Arabidopsis thaliana: one gene and its partners. The protein of the gene in region 2 interacts with the protein of the main gene of each other region in a pairwise test. Each region holds a gene or a part of one and is shown on either strand. Other genes may lie near its edges. The genes, in order: UMAMIT11, AT1G48210, AT1G17200 and AT5G14210.

The links.
Region 1: the proteins of AT1G48210 (region 2) and UMAMIT11 interact in a protein complementation assay, tested with the Arabidopsis thaliana proteins (one large-scale study listed by BioGRID).
Region 3: the proteins of AT1G48210 (region 2) and AT1G17200 interact in a protein complementation assay, tested with the Arabidopsis thaliana proteins (one large-scale study listed by BioGRID).
Region 4: the proteins of AT1G48210 (region 2) and AT5G14210 interact in a protein complementation assay, tested with the Arabidopsis thaliana proteins (one large-scale study listed by BioGRID).

Annotation. Positions count from the first base shown.
Region 1 is NC_003071.7:17,061,924-17,067,478, forward strand, and holds UMAMIT11 (nodulin MtN21 /EamA-like transporter family protein), read right to left. Parts: upstream 3,891-5,555; 5' UTR 3,592-3,890; coding exon 3,404-3,591; intron 3,310-3,403; coding exon 3,247-3,309; intron 3,161-3,246; coding exon 3,044-3,160; intron 2,845-3,043; coding exon 2,619-2,844; intron 2,258-2,618; coding exon 2,099-2,257; intron 2,003-2,098; coding exon 1,851-2,002; intron 1,753-1,850; coding exon 1,473-1,752; 3' UTR 1,175-1,472; downstream 1-1,174.
Region 2 is NC_003070.9:17,796,454-17,803,231, forward strand, and holds AT1G48210 (Protein kinase superfamily protein), read left to right. Parts: upstream 1-1,977; 5' UTR 1,978-2,131; exon of another isoform or gene 2,132-2,962; intron 2,963-3,064; 5' UTR 3,065-3,097; coding exon 3,098-3,179; intron 3,180-3,277; coding exon 3,278-3,528; intron 3,529-3,695; coding exon 3,696-3,822; intron 3,823-3,940; coding exon 3,941-4,214; intron 4,215-4,454; coding exon 4,455-4,587; coding exon of another isoform or gene 4,588-4,653; exon of another isoform or gene 4,654-4,907; coding exon 4,908-4,994; intron 4,995-5,207; coding exon 5,208-5,345; 3' UTR 5,346-5,877; downstream 5,878-6,778. Other genes in the region: AT1G48195 (Zinc finger C-x8-C-x5-C-x3-H type family protein), read left to right, coding at 1-144; AT1G48200 (uncharacterized protein), read right to left, coding at 617-669, 1,096-1,399; AT1G48220 (Protein kinase superfamily protein), read left to right, coding at 6,410-6,491, 6,592-6,778.
Region 3 is NC_003070.9:5,876,470-5,881,185, reverse strand, and holds AT1G17200 (Uncharacterized protein family (UPF0497)), read right to left. Parts: upstream 2,797-4,716; 5' UTR 2,694-2,796; coding exon 2,476-2,693; intron 1,822-2,475; exon of another isoform or gene 1,790-1,821; coding exon 1,669-1,789; intron 1,591-1,668; coding exon 1,315-1,590; 3' UTR 1,113-1,314; downstream 1-1,112. Other genes in the region: ILP1 (IAP-like protein 1), read left to right, coding at 1-179, 270-520, 613-684.
Region 4 is NC_003076.8:4,577,186-4,584,713, forward strand, and holds AT5G14210 (Leucine-rich repeat protein kinase family protein), read right to left. Parts: upstream 5,672-7,528; 5' UTR 4,190-5,671; coding exon 2,815-4,189; intron 2,726-2,814; coding exon 2,592-2,725; intron 2,508-2,591; coding exon 1,959-2,507; intron 1,855-1,958; coding exon 1,829-1,854; intron 1,752-1,828; coding exon 1,640-1,751; coding exon of another isoform or gene 1,543-1,639; coding exon 1,318-1,542; downstream 1-1,317. Other genes in the region: IMD1 (isopropylmalate dehydrogenase 1), read left to right, coding at 1-85, 164-280, 370-477, 559-765, 852-926; HEMG2 (Flavin containing amine oxidoreductase family), read right to left, coding at 6,321-6,442, 6,562-6,668, 6,765-6,839, 6,962-7,070, 7,160-7,283, 7,485-7,528.

The DNA of each region.
Region 1 (5,555 bases), on a different chromosome or scaffold from region 2:
AAAACTTGGTGAATGAATAGTATATCTTTTAACCAAAATTAATCGAATGGCAAAAATCGGAATCATCCCAAATTTTGTAAATTTTGATTTCCCCACGCACTAATCATCCGTCACAAAAAAAAGAAGAAGATAATAGATTATTCACGAATTAATCAGTTGGTAAGAAAAAAAAATAGATAGTTTATTTGTTTTAAAACGCCAAAAAAAAAAATTGGTGTGGGAGAGAGTCGGTGTTGTATGTTGGGGTCAGTGGGACCAGACGGGTAGGTGAGTGTGTTTGGTGAGAGGTAAATTTTTATTTGTTTTTGTGAACTTTTTCTTTTAGGTGTCTTGTGAATTCGTGTTATTATAATTATTATAGGTGAGTTCAATGATTCAATGTTTGGTTCAATTATAAGACGTAGGTGTTATTTCCTTTGAACAAAGAGAGGTTATATTTTGTGTTAGGCCCTACTTTTTTTGGGTTAAATTTAAAATGTCTGGCCAAACTTCTCTCAATTCACTTTATTTCAACAATCATGTTACATGCAACGGCAAGTCGGCAACTAGACCTTGCGTGCAAAGAAGTCCACTTTCACCTTGAGAAATCCAATAATTGATTCCTTAAATTCTATAAGAAAATAAACAACTCTGACGTGCATTGTTCCACACAAAGGAATACACCATATAGACATAGTAATACACACGCATATGTAAGTTCCGTTACTGATACATACCCACCACCATCTTTTATGAATTACGGTACCAGTTTATAAAATCTACATATACATCATTTTCTTGTAAGTTGTAACATTATAACATCTTTTGCAGGAAATAATATCGAACTTTTATAATCTACATATAGCTATGTTTTTGAGAATGAACTAAGAATTCTATACTATTTAAGGTTAGCACTTAGCAGTACCGAAAGAGATTCCATATTTTTCTGACTAAAGTTTTTGTCAAGTAATATAGTCATTTTCTTCAATATGAATTGAGATAGGTGTTAATGGGCTCTGGGCCGAGAATATTTTTAAGCAGAAGGCCTGACACTAATAAAAAGCAATTACATTTTGGTTTAATTCCCGGTTATGTTATTGTTTTTGACTTTTGTTATGTTTGCATTTGTTGGCAGAATGTTTTCGATATACGTACATCAAAAATATGGAACAGTGAGTAGTGAGTACATTGTTAACACACACACAAAAAAACTTACGATTTTTTTTTATAATATAGTTCACTAAAACCGCCGTAAAAATGGTATGTAACAGATGCGTACCAATACCAAATGTAGTGATTACACGGGATTGTATAGCTAGTCAACGATCAAAATCGAATCCCTTAGTTACAATAAGAAATCAAAACTATAAATAAAATATAAAACTTTTGAAGCACGGGAAAAGGAATTCAAACTTACAAGTATCAAAAAAAGAAGTTACTCTTCTCCCCAATTTTGCTTCTAACAAAAAGTAAAAAAAAAATTGAAAACCCATCTAGTTAGGTCGTGAAACGCTATGCACATTTTCACTACAAAAAACTACCACCACCACTTCCGGAACTGACGACTCCTTCTCCGACGTAGCCTTTCCGGTTTCAACATCCTCCTCATCAGCTTCGTCGATTTTCGGCATTATCGTTAGACCATTATTGCCACTACAACACTTAACGGCTACAACGTTATCTTCATGGCGTGTTTCTTCGCCGTCATCATCTACATGTTTGCCCCATAACACGGCGTAGACTCCCACCATCAAAACAACCACTCCAATAACCCTGAAAAAAGAAAACAAATTTCGGTTTGATTAATTAACAAGACAGAGCCAAGACTAAACCGGGAATATATCATAATTAACCGGTTGTTGTTAACGTACCCTCCAAGGTAGATTCCTTGACCGAGAACGAAGAAGCTCATGATGGAGACAATGACAACGATAAGAGGGTTAAAAGCAGTGACAAAGACCGGTCCTTTTCGCTGCATCATAAGTCCTTGAACGTAGTAAGCTATGCTCGACGACATTATTCCCTGTAACCGTTACCAATCACAATGTTAGTATCAATATTTTTGTAAACTGATCTTTTTGTTATTTGTGAAAGTGGCATGATGAAATAAAGGACGAACCGCGTAGGCAGAAGCGAGAAGGTTCATGTCAAAACCGATGTTCAAAGCAGAAGGATTGTGTTCCATTACGAAGGCTAGGGCTAAAGACTGTAACGTTCCCATGAAACACACCATTGTTGACATTGAGAGATGGGCTGAGTATTTCTTCAAAGTCGCAGCCTATTTAACAAAATATAAAAGCCTAATTCGTTAAATCTATATTTTTATATATTACGAAAACAGTGAAAAAAAATTCCAATCATATTATTATTTTAGATATAGTTAACCCAATTATTTTTTTAAAAATTATATAACATGAAAAATTAGAAACAACATCCCAGTAACATTATTAATACTATATCTAAAATTTCAAATTTTTTATATTACTTTTACGTATCCCCTACATGGTTTGGTGCATAAACTATATTTTCCTATGTTGATGGAAATTTAAAACTAATCCTAAAAACTATATTATACGTTTTTTAGTGATGTAAGAAGTGAGTTATATTATACACAGGATCAATATATAATTGATACATACCTGAAGAACAAAGAACGACGCCCATGAGAGGGAAGCGAGGAGTAGGAAGACGGCAGCCTTAAGATAGTCAGCCGTCGGCGGCGAAGAGGCGGCCGTGAGGTGAGACCGGAAGAAATTAATGAAAGGACCTTTGTAGAATATCATCAATATGGATCCAACCACTGTCACTAACGTCCCCATCACTTTTACCAGGCATCTTACTTTTCTCATCTCCACTTTCTCCATCCTTTAAAACAAATATTTACATAAAACACACACATCAATATTCATAATTTATGACATCGATCGTCATACACTAATTGTACTACTATACATCTACTTTTGAATTGGTGCATATCCACGTACCAAAATATAATAAAACGTATCTTTTTCTTTGGTTAAATGAATAAATGTAAATAATAAAAAAGTTGCTTTTTGTATGTTACCTGAAAAGTGTGGCAAGGATAATGGTAATTGCAGGCACGATGTTGCTAACGGCGGAGGAAAACGTTGGTGATGTGAGTTTTAGACCGATATAGTATAAGTTCTGATCAATCACCGGCCTGTTCAAATTAAACCTTCCATGTTAGCCTTAATCGTAATTATTACAAAATCTTCTTGATATCAACGGTTCTGTTAGAAGACTAACCCGAGAAGAGCAAGAAGAAATATTCGCATGAATATTGGAAACGTCATCTTTGATCTCACTTTCCTACAAAAAAATCCCCAATACATAATTATTACTACCAAAAAAAAAAAAAAATCTAAGTCTTGCGAGAATCGATTTCTTTAGAAGAAATATGTACCTTTCGGAGAGAAGAGCGAAGGGTGCGATAGCGGCTGTGGCAAAAGCGTTGCGGTATGCAACAAGAACGTAATGGCTCATACCGCGGTCTAGGACGGTTTTAGTTACTAAGTTCATACCTGCGTATCCGAACTGAAGACAGACCATTGCAAAATAAGGTTTAGCTGATTCTGACATCCTTAATCCCATCTTAATATTTTGTTTTTGTTTTTGTTTTAGAGCAAGAAAAACCAATCAAAGTTTTGGAGTTATTTTAGGATCCTCGAGGACAAAAAAATTGTCAAATTAGTGTTATGTATATAAGAAAACTGAGTTAGGAAAAGAGAGGAGAGAAACACTTGGAGAATGTGCTTTTTCCTGAGAACCAAGTGGTGAGAGGTTCTTTGTATATATAGCATATTATTCGGATATGTTCAGTGTTCTCTGATTTCTTCCTTTGTATTTTTGTTATTTTTATTTTATTTTTTTTCGGTGACGTTAGCGTTAATTATTCCGGTTTGATTCGGCATAAGAATTGGGTGTCATGAATTCATTATCTCTAAAGTAAGTGGATAAAACATTCTACATATATATATTCTGTTTATATGACTTCGTGAAACCAATCATATTAGGATTTTAAATAAAACTTGTGGCTACTAAAAGTCGAGGTTAAAAGTGTGATCAGTGTGGAACAAGTGATTAATTAACATCACCTCATTTCTTAACAATCAAAATTTACATGTTTATAGTAGTATATGTTTTAGTTGCACAAAAAACAACAACATTAGTATATGTTGTAGTTGCAAAAAAAACAAAAAAACTAATAAGTACATATGGACACTAAAACGTAATTCTAACATGCATGTAAATTATTTTATTCATGCAATTGGCTTTAAACATGGTTTTTTTTTTTTTTAAACTGTGGACTTGTCTATAAAATCACAAAATCCAAACTGAACTAAAATTAGCCGGATCGGATTAGCGTATTGTTAAAAGATTAAAAGAAACTTGAAAGCCACAGAAAAATTGTTGCGATTGTTAGTCTACCGTGGTTTTCGATATATGTGGTCTCATGACTCATCACCATCATAAGCTAATTGCTTTATTTAATATATAGTAGAATATCTTTTGGTTAATGTATAGTAGAAATTTGACAAATCGACCGACCTCTGCAAAAAGATTAACTCATTGTAATGCTAATATGGGGTTATATACGTGTGGAATCTGACGTATGTCCACCTCTATCCTAATTACTACATTCATGGTCATAAATCATCGATCTTTAATAAGAGGTTAAATCAATGAAGAAGCATAAGTGGACAGATTGAGTTCCACGTGGCAGCAATAATCAATTGGGTTCAATCCTACGTACATTGGGACCGGCCAATATCTCAAAACTACATTTCATGTTTAGAAATTTAAGGTGGACAAAATATGTGTTACATGTCTTGTCTGTTATCGATCTCTTCACAAAGAAATAAAACCCCAGATATTTTTAGAGTTACGTAACAAAATAATTATGAGTTATATATGGTTAAAAGTTAATCTAATCAGAATATTATTAGAACACCTTACCAAAAAAAAGAATATTATTAGTACAAGAAAATCTTGAATATATGTTCTGTTTTGGGCACTTAATTATATATGTTCATACCTGTTGTTTACATTTCGGATAAGCAATTATATACTCAATTCTTGAATACATCTATACATGTTTGCGTACATATCATCGATCTGCCTAGAATTGCTTATCCGAAATGTAAACCTCATATATTATACAATATATAAATTCGTGAACAAAAGCTAACCACATAGCATAACTCATTGGATTCTTTTGTTTTATTATATATCCCAAATACTTCACTTATGTTTAGTTGGGCATCCATTATCTTTTATAGAATATGCATTAATGTCACTTTAAGTGACAATAGTGGCTACTTTACTTAGTTGGAGAAGGTTTGTGTGGAATTCGTATCTTAATTTTTTTTAAAAAAATTAGATAGATTCAACTGTATTATATTAGGTCGCATGACTTTGTTGATATGTATATGCACGGTGAGAATGAGAACAAAGACGAATTATTTTATTATGCAATCCGAAAAAGTTTGATGGTTCGATCGGTTCAACATCTTGATTTGCATTGTTTTAATTGGAGGTTCTAGTCTATCCATCAT
Region 2 (6,778 bases):
AAGAATATAACGCCGAGCGAGCCTCAATGTACTCTCAATGACAAGGGCTTACCATTAAGACCTGGTCAAGCCATTTGCCCGCATTACAGTCGCTTCGGCATTTGCAGATCCGGTCCGACTTGTAAATTCGACCATTTTACCTAACCATCATCCTCAACTTGCAAATGATAAATTTGAAACTGATATTCCTTATCTCGTGTTTATTTTCAATAATATTCTAATATCTATGTTTTATTTACTCTTTATATGTATGAAAGGATGTTATTAATCTAAGGATCAAGTTAATCACCATGGTATCAAATTTTCATTTCATGTAACAAAATTGGATTTTTCTTTTCAAGTTTACCCAACAAACAAGGCTTTGTCGTCTCCAAATTTTGGACTAATGGTACATAGTGAAAGCCTTAAGAATCAACCCAAAGGAGGGTCTTACCTTATTTTAGGAGCTTTGTCCATACCAGGAGGTACAAAAAAAAAAGATCACAACAACAGACAATAGATGCCAAACTAGTTTACAAGTGCAATTTATGCAAATGATGAGACTAAATGCTAATCTTTACTTTAGCCGAGTGAATAATTTGAAGTGAAATGAACCTACCAAAAATTTAACAACCTCTCATATCATGATCTTGGGAGTGGACACTTTAGAATCTTCCTTGGCTGTGTCACCTGGAAGAAAGAACATAAAACCAGTTAGTGAACACACAGCTAATCTCCGAAAGGCGGCTTCTAATCATGTTCATATCTATTTCCCTTCATGTTACACTCTAAATCATATCGATTCTAACCCCATTTCTCTTTGAATTCAATACGTGCGTCAGGTTTTCTTTATCAACCCCACCAATCTAGCCTAGTTTGTACTTGCACAGATGTAAATTGATGTATCAAACAGTGATACCTAACCACACATTCTCAAACCAGTAAGCCCTCTTCTGTTGTTAAATCTAGGGAAAGTATTTGTTTGTTCTACAAGTGACATATAGACAAACATGACTACTCTAGTTTGTATAGATATGTAATAAACAAACATCTAAGAGAACAATTCTATACAGATAATTGCTGATACAAGCAAAAGAGAGGGCTGAGAGTAATCACCAGATTGATTGGTTGTGGTGGTAACTTCACCATAGATGGCCTTAAGCGTCGACAAAGGAACAACCGCGGCATTACCCGCAGAGGCAGCTTCAGCAAAGAGCTGCTGTTTCCACTCCCACATGGTGAGTTTCATTGCCTTATTAGACTTGAAGAGTGACTCCTTCTGCTCTGCTAAGGCCTCAACATACTTCTGCTGTTTATCAGATCTCAATCCCAAAACCACAAACGATACTCCTAGACACGTGTTTATCACAGCATTGTTGTTCATTGCTTCCGAGAGAAACATTGCAATCTTGTTCGCCATTCCTGTGTAGTCAAATCCATCAGTCAAAGGAATACATATTAGCAACTATCAACCAAAACCATGCACTGTGAGCACAACAAACTCAGGTAAAGCTGAATATGAACACAGAGATTGTTGTATCTAAGAACATTCAAACATTAGTTAAATGATGAAATCACCAAATTTTGTTGGAATCGATAACAAATGGTGTCATTTTGGCTACATACTCTATATTATGTGGAGATGGTGATGCTGATTTTACAATTAGAGATCAATCAGATCGATCAATAAGCTAAACAACGAATCCAGGAAACAAATAATGAAATTGAAGCAAGAAAAACAAGGAATCTGGGAGGCTAAATCGGAATGAGTAACGAAGTTTAAGAACGAAGAAAGGCTCACCCGAAATGAAAGATGCGTTGACGGCTACGGCGGCGAGGTTTGATACGACGGCGACGAGAGAGAAATCGCTTCCGTTCCAATACTAAAGGTTGTTTTGGGGATATGACTGTAATTCTAAAACAATGTTAGGGGTATTTAGGTATTTCAACACTTTTGCCAAGTAAGTAAAGTACGCAACAGTGATCATTAAGATATTTGTTTTAAAAGTGTTAAAGACGATCATTCATCATCAACACTAACACTTTTTCAAATTGTCGTCTAAAGTCTCTAAAACCACCATCGAAGTCTTGACAGAGAGAATTCGAATCGGACAGAGAATTTCTTCCGTAGTTTTTCTTGTAAGCGAAAAAGGTAAATAAAAGCTTTTTCTTCTTCCTCTGTTACGAGTTTCTCTTTTTGGTACTTTCCTTAAATGTCAAAAACCCTTTTTTAAGAACCGAGGGTTTCGAATTTCAGGTTGATTTTGATGATTAAAGGGAATATCGTAATTGATTTCATGTTTTTCAAGTTTGAAATCTGTATCCTAGGTTAAAACCTCGTTGACTTGTGAAAAGTCTAGGTCTACGGAACATAAAATGTCTCTTTCTTGTTGTTGGTGTTTGAGATTTTGATCGGTTCATCATGTAGATGAACAATGAACTATGTACTTCTTCTGATATTTGGCTTTATTTATGTGAATTTTTTTTGATTTTTCATAATTCTGTTTTTGTAAATGCTCAAAAACCTTATCCTTATAACTATTCTTATTTTTGTTTTTACTGATAACTACTCTGTGAAGTTCTCTGAAAGTTTTCTTCTTTTTGGTTATTACTATGAGAAAATCTTGTTTTGCAACACCATTTACTGAAAATTTGTGTCTGAATATGTTCATGTTCGTGCACACGGCATGATTAGCCAAATGCACAAGCTTACTCATTTGCACATCTTAGAGAAATTCTTCCAATCTTTTCTTTTTGGAAACTATTTGCTAGCTTTTGTTGGTAACATAAGTGCCTTTACCTTGTAATATTAAGCTTAGATAGCCGAATCGTGTTTGCAAAACTGTTTATTGTGCTTGTATTTTACCTTGTTTATATATATAGTTTCATAAACAGGAGATACTAGAATCTTACTCTGCAAAGCTGTTCATTTTTCTGTGTCTATTCTTCATGCCTATAGTTTGGTGCAAACTGTTTATTAGAGGTCTGTGTCTGAACAATCTCTTTGTTATCAATAAGTTTCAGAAGCTGCTCAAACCTTGTTTCTTACCACTGTTTTGTTGACATTTTGTCTTTTCTCTTTTAGAAGTTTAGTTAGCTCGTGTGAGAGAAGGGTGTAATGAGCTGTTTTGGTTGGTGTGGGAGTGAGGATTTTCGCAACGCTACTGACACTGGCCCAAGGCCAGCGCATAACCCAGCAGGTAGCTCAGTTCCTATTTCAACTGTATTACTTGTCAGTGTTTCTGTTAGTTTCCATCCTTTGGCATCCAAGTTAATGGGATTTTTAATTGTTATAAAGGTTACAATGGAGGCCACTACCAAAGAGCTGATCCACCCATGAACCAGCCTGTTATTCCCATGCAGCCTATTTCTGTACCAGCCATTCCAGTGGATGAGCTGAGAGATATAACTGATAACTATGGTTCAAAGACCTTGATCGGCGAGGGTTCTTATGGAAGAGTGTTTTATGGTGTTCTTAAAAGCGGTGGTGCAGCTGCCATCAAGAAACTTGACTCTAGTAAGCAGCCAGATCAAGAATTTCTTTCCCAGGTAGATACTATAAAGTATATCACTGCATTTTTTATCTTGTACAATATCGCCAAAAACAGCTTAACCTAGTTCTTATGTCCTATGTGCAAATAGTCCAGCATCAAACCACTCCCTTGGGAATGTTCTGTCTACTTTTGTTTTGTTACTGACGTAGAAGCTTTTAACAGATATCAATGGTTTCGAGATTGCGACATGACAATGTTACTGCACTTATGGGCTATTGTGTTGATGGCCCTCTCCGTGTTCTTGCTTATGAATTTGCTCCTAAAGGATCTCTTCATGATACTCTTCATGGTGAGTGATTAAATGTGAACCGTTGCTTAGATATGGATTAGTCACTCAATACTTAACTATCTAGAAAGTAAGATACAGGAGGAAGAAACTAATGAAACGTGGTGACTCTTTGGTGCAGGCAAAAAAGGTGCCAAAGGAGCACTTAGAGGTCCTGTTATGACGTGGCAACAGAGAGTCAAAATCGCCGTTGGTGCGGCCAGAGGACTTGAGTACTTGCATGAGAAGGTGAGCCCTCAGGTTATCCACCGAGACATCAAATCCAGCAACGTACTTCTGTTTGATGATGATGTTGCCAAAATTGGTGATTTTGATCTGTCTGATCAAGCCCCTGACATGGCTGCTCGCCTTCACTCAACTCGTGTGCTAGGAACCTTTGGCTACCACGCTCCAGAGTAACGTCTTTTTCAAGATTTTCTTTACCTTGAAAAGATTTTTTTCAGTTTCTTTCATTCAGACTAAACCATGGGTTACATGTCTTCATTCAAAAATGTTTGGTTCTCATGCTCTAATGTTATGAGTCACTTTTTCATTCACATGGATTTCGTTCCTCTTATCACTTTTTAATTACCCTTATGTGTCTATTGCATCTTTGACGAATCTATGCTTACACCTTTTTGTGTAATGTATTTCAGATATGCAATGACAGGAACGTTGAGCTCAAAGAGCGATGTGTACAGTTTTGGCGTTGTTCTGCTGGAGCTCCTAACTGGTCGTAAACCAGTCGATCATACCTTACCGCGTGGACAACAAAGTCTAGTGACATGGGTATGTTTAGTGCGATCTTCTCTGCTTCTAATTCTGGTTTGCCGCATCGATAAGAGAGGCTTTTAAGAAGACCAAATTTATAATAAACTCATTTAGTCTGTTGAAAATTACAAAAATTGGGTCAAAACCTCAAAAGAACTTGGAAGAAAAAGCCCTCCATAATTAGGCCTATAGAATTGAAACTTGGGATGTTATAACAACTGAAGACGCTGGAAAAAGCCAGAATTTTGTACGAATAGATTAATGTGACTCTAAATGTTTCCTAGAAATGAGATAATACGGTTGCTCAGTAATAAAGATGTTGTGTGTTGTCGTCTCAGGCAACCCCTAAACTAAGTGAAGACAAAGTGAAGCAATGCGTTGATGCAAGACTACTCGGAGAGTACCCTCCCAAAGCTGTTGGCAAGGTATTAATCTCAAAATTGCTTTCCTCTCATTGTTTCAATAATGCGTAAAAGATTTAACTTAAGTGTATAACTTAAAAGACCAGTTTATCTTGTGAGTGCTGACATTAGAACCAACGTAGCGAAACAAAACAAGTGATAAGCGCATTCATCTACATGATTGAAACATTTCATGAGTCTGATTTTATTTGCCATATGGTGTGATATAATGATCAGCTAGCTGCAGTGGCTGCACTCTGTGTGCAATATGAGGCAAATTTCAGACCAAACATGAGCATTGTGGTGAAGGCACTTCAACCTCTTTTAAACCCTCCTCGTTCTGCTCCGCAGACTCCACATAGGAACCCCTACTGATCAAATATTCAATCCCCCATATCTCATCTTCTGATCATGATGATTCATCAAATGTGTATTATTCATTTTGGTTCTGTATTGTGTAAATTTATGGGACCTTATCTCATTAACTCTTCATTCTCAAGTCCCACTTTTCAAGACATGTGTATGTCTCTCCTCTATATCAATATATTTTATGTTTTCCTGTGAATTCAGAAAACTCATTACTAAATTCTGATACTACATTTTCATTGAGATGATGTTTTTGCTACAGATCATAGGAATTTGCAATACATGTTGCTATGCGATGCGACGGCGCCTAGAGAAATCTAGAGATCTCCTCTGTTTCAGTGCTTTGGCTGCCTGGGGGAATTTGAATGTGATTCACTGAAGCTGTATTTTAAGTATTTGACTCATATTAGACTTGTTCCAAGTAAAATAGCAACAAGGCAACAATGGTCATCTAGTTATTTAAAAAGTGGTTGACGATCATTAAGACATTTTCAAAATTCTCATCTAAAATGGTAAACAACCATGAAAGATTCGACTCCCAATAGAGAGTTTCAAGTTCTCTCTTTCTCTTTCTCTCCTTTCCTAGTTTTTTCTTGTAGCAAAAGGTAAACCTTATGCTTCTTCTTCCTCTGTTGCGAGTTTCCCTTTTGGTACTTTGCTTAAATATCAAACAACCTTTTCAAAAAGGATCTTCCTTTCGAGGGTTAGAAAGGAGTTGATTGTTTCTAACTTTTCATGTTTGAAATCCGTATCCCTATGTTATATCTCGTTGACTTATGAAAATTCTAGGTTTAGGGAACATAATGTCTCAGTTGTTCGTGTTTGACAATTTAATTGCTTGAGTAATAAAGAGAGATAAGATCATTGATCTTACCATTTTACTCTCTTCTCTTTGTCTTAGATAGGCAAATCTTGTTTTCAAAACTGTTTGTTGTCTATATTATCTTACACTTTCATAAGTAGGAGATAGAAGCTTAAGGTGCTATCAAACCCTTTTTTTATACCTTTTGTCACATTTTGTCTTCTGTACTATTACAGTTAAGTTAGCTCGTGTGAGAAAAGGGTGTAATATAATGAGCTGTTTTGGCTGGTGTGGGAGTGAGGATGTTCGTAATCCTGCTGACACCGGACCAAGTCAAGCACATAACTCAATAGGTAGCTCACATATTTCAACTGCACCACTTGTCTTTGTTTTTCTTATATTGTCCAGTTTTTGGCTTCTAAGTAAGTTAATAGGAATTGAATCGTTGTAAAGGTTACAATGGACGCCACCATCAAAGAGCTGATCCACCAATGAACCAACCAGTAGTTAACATGCAGCCTATCGCTGTACCAGCCATTCCAGTGGATGAACTGGAAGATATAACCGAGAACTTTAGTTCAGAGGTATTAGTCGGTAAAGGTTCATATGGAAGAGTGTTTTACGGTGTTCTTAAAAGCGG
Region 3 (4,716 bases), about 12 Mb from region 2:
AAAGATGAGTAACATAAATGTGTTGATCAACGATGACAGTGTTCATCCATCTTTGTCTTGCAATGCGATAGTGTGTTCTGGTTATGAAGCATCTAAAGAAGAAGTGACCCAGACTTGGGAGTCTCCCCTCAACGCTGGCTTTGCACTCCCCGGATCTAGTTACACTGCCAATGATCAAGGTCTGTAAATTTCTTCTTATGGTTGATAAACATATCCAAACTTCATCACTTATAAAAAGTGTAATAAATATATGCTGTTTCATTTTTCAGGGCCACAAAACGGAGACAGCAATGATGATATTGTGGAGTTTGATCCAATAAAGTATCATAACTGTTACTGTCCTTGGGTTAATGAAAATGTGGCTGCTGCTGGATGTAGCAGCAATAGCTCGGGTTCTTCAGGTTTTGCTGAGGCAGTTTGTGGGTGGCAACTAACTCTTGATGCCCTTGATTCGTTCCAGTCGCTTGAAAACCCTCAAAACCAGACAATGGAATCAGAATCAGCTGCATCTCTGTGCAAGGTTTGTTACCAACTTATCCGTTACTTTATTTTCTTCCTTCTCAGGATGATCTGACACTAACACTAACTTTGTTTCAACTCTTTTGTTTGTAGGATGATCACCGAACTCCTTCCCAGAAGCTCTTGAAACGCCACTCTTTTATCAGCAGCCATGGGAAAAAGTAAGAATAATTTGCTTGCGAATAAAAACAAAAGGGTACAATTGCAGATGAAATCAATATATATATATTGGTGTGGTGAAGCATATAAGCTTGAACAACACTTGGTTAGGGCTCTTTAGCTTGGGTTTCCTTTTTTTGCAGTACAAATAAAGAAGTTACTATAATCTCTCTGATCTATAAACGTTGGGGTTTCTATGAATTTAAAGTAAAAGTTTGTGTAGTAAGTAAAAGTTAAAGACTGCCTAAACAAAGGTGATAGTGCTGAATCTTGTTATTTAATAATCTTATAGACTCTTGTTGTATCTTCCTCCTTTTTTTTTTGCTGTTTATCATAATCCTGGATTAACAACTTTGGTTTGCTTGAAATTAATTTACAAGACAATGTGTGTTTTGAACCGTTGTATACTTGTGTTCAGGATAATTTGGCTCCGGTAATTTTGTATGATTCGACTTGTGTTTTTTTTCCGTATGATTCTCTTGTTTATACCCTTCAATTAGTTAGACGAGTCGTAATAGGAAGAAAAGCAATGAAAGAAGAGCAAACACATAAGCATTCTTTCTCTTGACCAAAGTTAAAAACACACAACATTTGAAACATGACAAACTAGATGTACTTGAAGAGCAAATGGAGGATCTAACTTCCGAAGACAGCGACTTCGAGATTCTTGGCGGAGTCAACAATGGAAGGAGGATCAAAGCGAGTAAAGAGCTTATAAGAGGAGATTAGAGAGAGAACGATGTAGAAACAAACCACAAAGAATGTGATTATAACAGAAGCAGTGGCTCTATGACAGAAACCGCCATAGGAGCTACATGCATCGCTCCAAGTAATGGCTGAGTCTCCATTGTAAGCCAAGTATAGAACCTCAGCTGATACAGCTCCAGCAGCAAGAACCAGGTAGGTCAGAAGCTGAGACAATAAAACATTATGAAATTAATTTTTGTACTTCAGTGGATCATTTATAACCGAATTTTTTGAATAGTAGACCTGGTCGAGACAAAAGAAGGTCCAAACACGAGGCATTGTCGAAGAAGAACGAGGCATCGCTGCAATGGCTGCTGATAGAAGAGAGTAGCCTGCACATATTCCATTTGCGTGCACCAAGTACCTAAGTTTGTAATTACATTATTACCATTACCGATAATCAATATTTTTTTACAAAAACAGTTTATTTCGACTATACTTTATCAAACCCTATCTATGCTAACTTCGATAACCAACAAATGTAGCTTGACTAATACGTGTCTTTGCCTAGCATTTTGGGGCCCTAGACAAAAGTAAAAATTCTCCATTTTGTATTTAACTCATCAGAGCCGCTTGTTTCATGAGAAGAACGAAAATTTGGGGCCAAAATTTTAAGGAAAAGTTTGGGAAGTTCAATAAAGATAACATAATGTTTACAACTACAAAACCGGTCATAATCAATCTGGTAAACCAAATAACAAATTAGAAACTGGCCAAAAGCTCGACGTGTCTTCATAGTCAGCACAATTTGTTTGGTTTAACGATCCAAATTAATTTAATTAATTCTGAAAATATTGGGATTCTGATTACAAATTTTGGTGAAATATGTAGATATAGGTTAATATACATGTACATATGTAATATACTAATATGTATGCACATAGTTACAGTCAGTTTCTTAAAACTAGAACTTTTTTTGTGTGTTTCATGTGAAACTTCGCCACACCATCTCACAACATATAAACCCTAATTGTAAATAGTATGCAAGAAGAAATAACTCTACATCTTGAAGATGAACAGTTAATATATGTGTATGGAGAAGATACGTACCTAAAGGCTGTGAGATTGGAGTAAGAAATTGAACCGAACTCATTAGTCTCAGAGTCCTTAAGCATGACAACAAGTGCTGCAACACAAAGGCCCACCGGAGCTAACCGGAGCATTGTCTCGGCAGTTCGGATTCCGAGGCTAGTCTCCTCCCACTTCTCCGTGGCACCACCACCGGAGCCGCCGTGGCTAGCCTTGTCATGATCATTACTTTTCTCCATCTTCTAGCTTCTTTAGTTTTCTCTTTATTTATCTCTCTCTCTTTTTATGGATTTTGAGAGAAAATGTGGTTATAAACAAGTGGATATGATTTTAATGTGTGACATTAACTAAAGGGAAGTGTTGGATCGATAGGGTTGGTGAATGCATTTAATTTCGATATTCATGACACTCCTCACATTTCCCAAGCAAAAAAAAACATTTAAAGCCTTCGAAAATGATAACTCCCCGCTAAAAAGCAAAATATTGATCACTCCACTACAATCTAGATTATAATTCATTGTAATATACTCCGTATGAAGGTCTCTCTCTATACTCAAGATTGGAATCATTTCTTTTCTAAATCCTTCAGTTCAAATCTTAAAATACGAAAAAAAAAACAAAAATTACTATACTAAACTCAAGTTAGAAAATCAGTTAGCACATCTCCACCAGAGAACCCTAGATAGGTTTTTGAACTTGAAGCAAATGATTTGCAAGATTGCTCCGTTTACGGTACTGTTTATAGGATACTAAAAATAACTTTAAGCTAATCCAATGTCGTGGTCGAGAATGGATATATCTTGTTTCGTCTTATATAATAAATGTATAGAGTATTAGTTTGGCTACTTACGTTTTCTTTCTTATAATGTAGTATGTGGTTGAGTGGTTCATAGATTAGTTGATTTAATAAAAGTAAATAATTCTAAGTTATAATCCACTAGGACTTTTTAATTTGGTGGATCAAATGAATGCTCAGGGTCTTGGCGGATCAAATATGAAATTTGATCATTATGACATTCTGGTAGATCAAATATGAATGCTCTTGGCTGCAAAATTTCACATATGATTCAAATTATGATTTGTTAAAAATACTTTCAAATCTTGTGGTATTAATAATATTTTATAAAGTTAAACGTGATTTCGTAATTATGAGATGCCTGGAGATATGTTTCTTTAATTTATACAAAATCATTACACAATTTATAAAACCTCAACAACAATATACTGTAATGGTATCTACTAGACGATGTGTATATATATGCAGGCAACTGGCAAGGCAACGTGTACTTTCATTGTTTTGGAAAAATATCTTATATCCGTATACTGAGACAAGTATAAATCAGTTATTGTACATTATTTATTGAGTTCCTCCGAGCTCCACGTGATCATAATAACGTCATCAAAAAATTCAGGTTACTATAATTAGCGACGAAAATAACGTTGATAGGTTCTTTCGTAATTATGAATTCAATTGCCTTTGTCAATTAATAGGAGACTTTTTCCTAATTTACCCTTAAATAAATAAATAATAGAGGAACTAAAAAATATGAATGATGAATTTGATAGGGATTATGATAAGGGACAGCTTAGCAACGCATATTAAAGGTTTTGTTTAAGTGTTGGATCAATCAAACCATATCTTTACGCAAGATTATACATATATATATATATGTGTAATTACATTGACCATAATTTTATTGTTTTGTTTTTGTTTGTTAATGTTTAAACTTAAACTGCCTCGTAAGATAAAAGCAAAAATAAATTTGACAAAAATATAAAACCAAAAATAAAAATACAAGATAGATAAGTGTTCTCAGTCTCGTGGCCAGTCTCAATCTAGAGGTATATTGTAACATTTCTTTCGAATTTGATTCATAGCTCCACAATTAACGATAAATCATGAAAGACACAAGAATTCCATATATTACTGGATTGATTTGTTATAGATTATTAAATATCTCTATTATAAACAACAAAAAGAGTAAGTTAATCATTAGTTATATTAAGTCCAACTACATATTGTATTTGTAATTGAAAATAGATCAATCATTTGTTATAAGATGTCATGTCAGATGATGTTGATATAATTGATATCAGGAAGAACAAGTCCTCGGAATTAATATGTACGGTTCGTGAACTGAAACGACTCTTCGATTAAACCGGATGGTTTACTGAAGCTAATCCGGTTTATTCAAATTGAGTGCAATGTCGTCGAATTTAATAGGGTACAGTAAACATTTCGTTATTACGGTTTATCATACT
Region 4 (7,528 bases), on a different chromosome or scaffold from region 2:
TGACAGAATTGCTCGTGTAGCATTCGAGACTGCTAGGAAAAGGCGTGGCAAACTTTGTTCTGTTGACAAAGCCAATGTGTTGGATGTACGTTCTGTTAGTTCACTGAATTGTTTTTCCACTTTTGTGTGTTTTACGAAATGCAAATTTCTTTGTTTCATGTAGGCATCAATATTGTGGAGGAAAAGAGTAACAGCTTTAGCCTCTGAATATCCAGATGTTGAACTATCACATATGTATGTCGATAATGCTGCAATGCAGCTTATTCGTGACCCGAAACAGGTGCTTCTCGCACATATATCAAACTTAGTCGTTGATTAAGCTAACTCAGAAGTGGAACTAGTACTCACGGTGTTTTTAAAACAATGCAGTTTGACACAATCGTTACCAATAACATTTTTGGTGATATATTGTCTGATGAAGCTTCAATGATCACTGGAAGCATTGGAATGCTTCCATCTGCTAGTCTCGGTGAATCGGTAAACAAAATTAACTAACATCTTTCAAGGCTCCTCCTGTTTATAAACTAATGCGAAATGTTAAACTTGTGATGAAATCAGGGACCTGGACTCTTTGAACCTATACATGGTTCAGCACCAGATATAGCTGGACAAGACAAGGCAAACCCATTGGCCACCATTCTCAGCGCGGCGATGCTTCTGAAGTATGGACTTGGAGAAGAAAAGGCTGCAAAGAGGATTGAAGACGCTGTCGTGGATGCTCTGAACAAAGGGTTCAGAACCGGAGACATCTACTCCCCTGGAAATGTATGTGCATGATGATTCTTATCATTTGTTTTGTACAAGTTCGTAACAAAATACTTAAAAAAGTCTTTTGTGTTTTGAAAATGCAGAAACTGGTGGGATGCAAGGAAATGGGTGAGGAGGTTCTCAAATCAGTGGAATCCAAAGTTCCAGCTACTGTTTAAGTTTATTGATGATTTGAAGCACTTGAAAAAGTTTGTGTAGCACTTGGTTTTACGGTCACTTATATGCTAATCCATGCAACATTGTACCTTTTATAATAAATAAATTATTTGGGATCGATTCTGCAATTCAAAGACAAGATTCTCCAAAAACATTTGACAGGTCTCCTGCCTTTACTTACCTTGTTCTTGAAGATTGAGAATTTCTCTTCAACTACAAGACTCAATATCTTCTTCAATCAATATTTGTTTAACGAAATAAGTTTCAAGAGAAGACAAGCTACTATGATTTTTAGTCTCAAGAGTCTTACATTTTTATACTGAAAACCAAACTTATAGAGCTTTACATTTAGAAAACCGAAAAAACTATCAATCATTAGGTTAGCCTTTGGATTCACGACGACGTATCAGATTTGCGTTCAGCGTCTGCGGCAGACTGCATTTGAGCTGCGTATTGTAAGTTCCAGAGAACATCTTCAAAGGAAGGTCTTGCGGAAGGTTCAAGCAAAACACATTTATTGGCGATTGAGATCGCAATCGATAAAGACTCCTGCGAGCTTGTTGTTAGGACTGTTGGACTTACTATTTTCTGCCGACCGTCTTGGCTCCCAAATGATGTCTGCAAACACAACATTGCAGCAACAGCTATTAACCAAATTTGTTTCAATCAAATAACAATGATGATGCTTTTTTTTTTTGCTTTTTCTCTTTGTTACCATTTCGTTGAGAAGAAAAGCCTCTCCTTTTGTAGTGGGCACTGGTCCTATCAGAGATTCCAGAAGTATGAATCCGAAGTTGTACACATCGTCCTCTCTTTTAGCCTTTTTCCTGCATAATCTCAAAGTTTGGATTAGATTCTCATAAATGCCATGGAGTTTTGCTATACAAGGACAAAAGATGCATACTTTGACTTGTGGGTTTCTGACTTTGTCTGCAAAATGTAGAAGCAGGAGTAAAGTAGAGTCCTGAGTTAGTGTCAAAGAAGATCATACAAAATGAAGATAAACACAGTGAAAGAGAGTAAATAGAGCAAACCTCAAGCTTTTCGTTCTCTTCAATGATGGCAGAGACTCCATAGTCACTGAGCTTTGCAATCTTGTGTTCGTCAAGCAAAATATTGTTAGTCTTAAGCTGATTGTTGAATGAACCAGGCATTACACCGGTGTGAAGAAAATGAACTGCCTTTGCTATCTCAATCAGAATTGCTAGCCGATCTGGCCATGTCAGGATCTTCTCCGAGAAAGATTCTACAAATAAACAATATTCTAACAACAACGATTTTCCAAGTACAGAGAGATTCAGTATAACATTTAGTTTACTACAAATGCCAAACGACTGACCTGATAGATGTGTGCGATAGCTCCCGTTGGGCATATACTCGTATACAAGGTAGAGTATGGTTGCAACAGGATCGTGTTCTCCGCTGGTTTGCGTACAATGGCCCAAGAAGCCAAGGAGATGAGGATGGTTGAGCTTTGCCATCCAGTCTAAGTGACCTCTGATACTCTGGCTGGAGAATTTCCTTGATAAAACCAGACATCTGATAGCTATGGAACTTCCATTTTCCAGTGTTCCTCTGTATAGCTGCAAAGGATCAAAACAAGCAGAGTAAAGCAAATGACAGATAGGCAGATCACAAGAATTAATCTTGCAGAAGACAAACCATACCTTTCCAAGGGAGCCTTCACCTAAGAAACGTGATGAATCAAAATCGTCTGTGGCTTCCTTTAAATCTTCAAAAGAAAAGGACCGGCATGAGGGCACACCCTGTGCACCTAGCTTTGCTGTTTGAGAGATTAACCCTGCAAGACGAAATCATACAAGGATATTAAATCCCTGAAAGACAATTCCTAGCAGGAATAGTCTACATTTTGAGTCAAAAGTTACTCACTTGCACTAGCAAGAACTTCAGAGGAGAGACTGGTGTGTGAGTTATCTGTCACAACCTTAAGCCGAGTTTGCGGCACTGACTTTTCTCTTGAACAACAGCTAGAGCAGCGGTTTGTGCATAACAGGAGGAGGATAACTAATACAAAAAACACAAGAACAAGAACAGCTCCACCAATGACAGCAATCAAAATCCCAACCTTTCTTCCTTGGAACTGTTTTCCCTCAGTTTCAGCCTCTTCGCATAAGAATTCTTGATGCTGATCATGACTGCCAATTATGGACAAGCAGTTTCCACCAAGTTTAACAACTCGCTCGCCGGAAGCTCCTGCCAAGCAACGGGGAGGAGTCCCAATCAATCTGTTATTCGACAAATCCACAAATCCGAGTTTGCCTCCACAGGTCAGATTAAGAGGTAGCTTCCCACTGAGCTTGTTAGATGCCAAATCCAAGTAACTAATGTTTGGCAAAGAGAACAAGAACCGAGATGGAGTTCCAGTCAGATGATTGAACGACAAGTCAAGATGCTGAAGCTGAGACAAACCGCCAAAACGTCTTGGAATTTCGCCTGAGAAGGAGTTCTTGCTCAGGAGAACAGTAACTAATCTTATAGGCATGACAGGTAGTTCAGAATCCAAGTGGTTTTCTCTCAGATCCAGCATATGCAGATGACTTAACTTGCTGAGATCAGGCAATTTACCAGAAATCTCATTGTGTGATAGAGCAAGATTTGTTAGTCTTCCAATTCTGCAAATTGAAGAAGGAAATGGACCTTTGAACCGATTGTTCTTTAAACTAAGAACAGTAAGATTGGTCAAGGAATCCAACGTGTCTGGAACACTACCGTTGAAGTAATTTCCATCAAGCATCAGACTTTGAAGCATAACCAATCTGGAAATATCAGGAGGGACAGAGCCAAACAGAAAATTTGAACTCAAATCCAAGTACTCAAGAGAATTCAACCGATGGATTTTCCCTGGGAACTCACCATAGATACCTAGAGACACTAAGCTAAGAACCCTCAAGCTTGTAAGCCTTGTCAATGTGGTAACAAAAGAATCAATTATGAATGCTTCAGACAGAGTGTGATTTGGAAGTGAAGACCCATCAAACATACCAAATGGTTTAAAAAGCTTGTCCCCCATGACTTTAAGCTCCGTGATGGAATTACCTTGACAGGTGATGCTCATGTGAGCAGTTGCAGGGATTTGACATAAGTCTCCATAGTAATTTCCCCAAGATTCCAGAGCTTTAGGGAATTCCAGATGCTTCCTGAGCTGATACAGGACCTGAGTCTGAGAGTTCGGCAGTTGATGAGTGCTTTGTAAGAACATAACCCATGAAAGAAAGAGCAAAGGTAAAACCTTTAATTGTTCCATTGCAGGAAAAGAAAACAAAGATGAATTGAAACAGAACCCTAGAACTAGAAGCAGACTTGGATTCTGAGAGGAAAATGAAAGAGACCCATCTAGGTGTTTTCTAGTCAACTCAAGTCAAACCAAGCTCGTGATCCCAGACGCTCCTATGGAGCAAACTCCAAGGAACTGAATTGGTTTATAATCAAAATCCCTGAGAAAGAGGTCAGGAAACAAAAAGCAAAAGAAGAATAAGAGAGAGTGAGGACAAATGCAGAAATCGTGGAGGAGAATGTCGGTATTCTTGTGAGTCTGTTTGTCGGATTCAACACATAGACGAGAAAGAAACTAGGGAAGCTAGAGAAGAAGATGATAAGAGCATTAATGACAAAAGAGTTGAGCAGCATTAATGGCAGCTTCAGTAATTTATCTGAGAATCTTTTTTCTTCTTCTTCTTCTCTTTATGAAAGAAACAGTAAATTTAGAATGTGGGTCACGAAAAACAATCATAAAGCAAAAAATGTGCACTCAATTTGATGAAAGGTTGTTCCTTTTTATGACCAATTGTCTGGAAATCTCTTTTTCTGTAAGATAATGAGAAAACAAATGAAATTTGATTTTAAATTTGGTATAGATAAAGCATGATTACTGATTTGATGATACTTGTTTATTAGTGTATGCTTTGTGACTTTAGTTGACTCATAGAAGATGCCGTTAACACATGTCTCTTCTTCCCCACTTTGTTTATAAGATTTAAACATTGATTTTTGTGTGTGATTAGATTCCATGTCTTGTTAATTCACCAAACTGCCCTTCTACGATACCAAATGACAACCAAATGACAAAAGGAAGCTTTTGCTCTACGAATACGAAACATTGTCCGGTAGAAGTAGCTTTCGTTGAAGGACAAAATATGGCAATAAATAATTATATCATTCCCAACCATATAATAGCATTTCTAATAAGATAGTTTTATCAAACCATCTAAAACACGAATCCACAATGTTTAGATTGTAGCATATAGTTTTTTGAGACACATGCCAATAGACTTGTGGCATAAAGAGGGCAAGTAGGTCAATTACTTAGAGACAAAGGTGGTGATTATGCTTTGCTAAAGTTTTAAGGCCCACAATACAGTACATGTCCCACAGGTCTGTTCTACTCTCAAAGACCGGACCATCGTATTAATTAACTTCTTTTTTTGGTCTCACATGCGTCAATTTTTTTTATACAGTATATGAAGTATGAACATTAAAATGTTTCTTCACTGTTGTTTAACAAAATTGTTATTGTTGGTGCACAAAAAAAAAAAAGGTTTAACAAACATTTTGTTTTTTTTAAATTGACAATCGTGAGTGTAATCACAATTGATGCTTTAAAATTTGGCTAATACTTTCGTTAGCATTTTCAGGATGTTACTAAAACCTAGTATATTTCATAGCCAATATGATGTTTCAATACTGTTAGTGTTATAACTTATGATTTACCATTAAAATTATAAAACTAATATAAACATAAAAGATATGTAACCATCATTATTAAGCATACCACAAAAAGGAACAAAAGGACTAGAGAACAATGCAAGCTCTATTACTGATTCTGCTTTGGTATCAAAAAGAGACTTAACAAGACATTATGGGTTAAGACAGATAACGCTTTATAGGAGAATGATAAGACATAACATAAGACTCCACGAAATTGGAACCGGGAGAGCATGTGGGACGAACAGAAACGGGCATTCAGATACTAACATCTAACATTAGGACAACCTTTTTGGGACCATCTTATGGTTGTGGCTTTGGAGAAAAAACAATTAAAACATCAACATCCCCTTCCCACCAGAAACCAAACAAGTTTCTCTCCAACTTGTCTAGAGAGCAGAAATGATATCTTCAAGATAAGACAATATCAGCAATTTGTTTTAAAGATTCTTCAATCCTAAAATCCCTCACCCTATCATATTCTTCTACCTAGACAGACCATACCAGTGATGCAACAAGAAAACAGACCAAACAATACATAAATAGTTTATTCTGGAATTAGTGAGCCTTATGAGAATCTGGGTTTTGCTGAGTTGTTGGCTAATCGCACGGCGGCTTGTTGCATTTTACAAGTTTACAAAGTAAGTGATAAAAAGGGACGAACCTTGACAATGTTATAAGCTGTCATTTGGTTTCTTGTCATTTGAGCAAGACTCCAGGTATGAGATCACAAGGTCAGCTGCTTTGCAACCTGATGCTATTGATTTCCCAACAGAGAGCCCCCCTCGATGATTACCTGTTTATTTTGGTCCGTGCACAATAGATAAATAACTGCAATGAATCGTCTCGAGGCCATATACTGACTACATTCATCATCATGGATCATATAAGACTGAAACTTTAAATTGAAGTTACCTGCATAGAAGAACCCAGGTAGATCATTCTCCATCTTGTCAATTGCTTCCATGACTGAGTCATAGCTGCTGTCATACAACGGGAATGCTTTCCTCCAATAGTAATGGCTGCAGATAACATATATTGTTTATCTATAAGGGTGGTAATCTTCTCTTTCGTACACTAAAACGATCAAATCAAAAAAATCTCCAAAGTTCACATACTTGACAGACACGGGTTCACCTTCAACCCCCAACAGTCGCTGAAGGTCAGAAGTCACAACTTGTTTTAATTCGTCACTACGAAGATTAAACCAGAAAGAAAAAAAAGTAGTCAGAATTGGGTAAAGTAGGAAACTAGAAAAATGGTATAAATGCCTCGATTCTTTGTAGCTTTTCGTAAGCAGTCAAATTTCACTTACGTGGAAGCTTTGGCTAGTTCCTGGTTCCTACTCCCACCAATAAAAGTTGTATATAGATGAACGTCACTAGGGGAACGATCTGGAAACATCATTGATGAAAAAAGTGTACCTGCGTATAGAGGAGTATGAAGTATTGATAAATATAGAAGGAAAAGTATAGGGCTATTTGTTTGAGTTAAGGCCACACCAACAAGTTACCTAGAGTTTTGAAACCATGCTTTTGCTCCTTAGATGGAATGAGTACCCCAAAGCCTTCAAGAGGTCTCTTTACTTTCTCCTTTGTGAATGTGGTGATTAAAACCGAGAGGGGCATGTAATTAATCTGAGAAAAGAACAAGATCAACATCGATATGCAATTAACTTGGGATAAATAGTACATATAAAAGATAACTAATCATGCAAGGTAGTTCTTTGATGTCACATTAAGGTTCATTATCAGTATTTGGAGTAATACTGGACCACATCTAGATGTAGGCCTACTACTCTCAAACATAAACTTCTGAGTTGTAAAAGACACAATTACCTCGGGGAGAAAGTTTAGCTGAAAGGGTTGTCCTCCTTTCATAA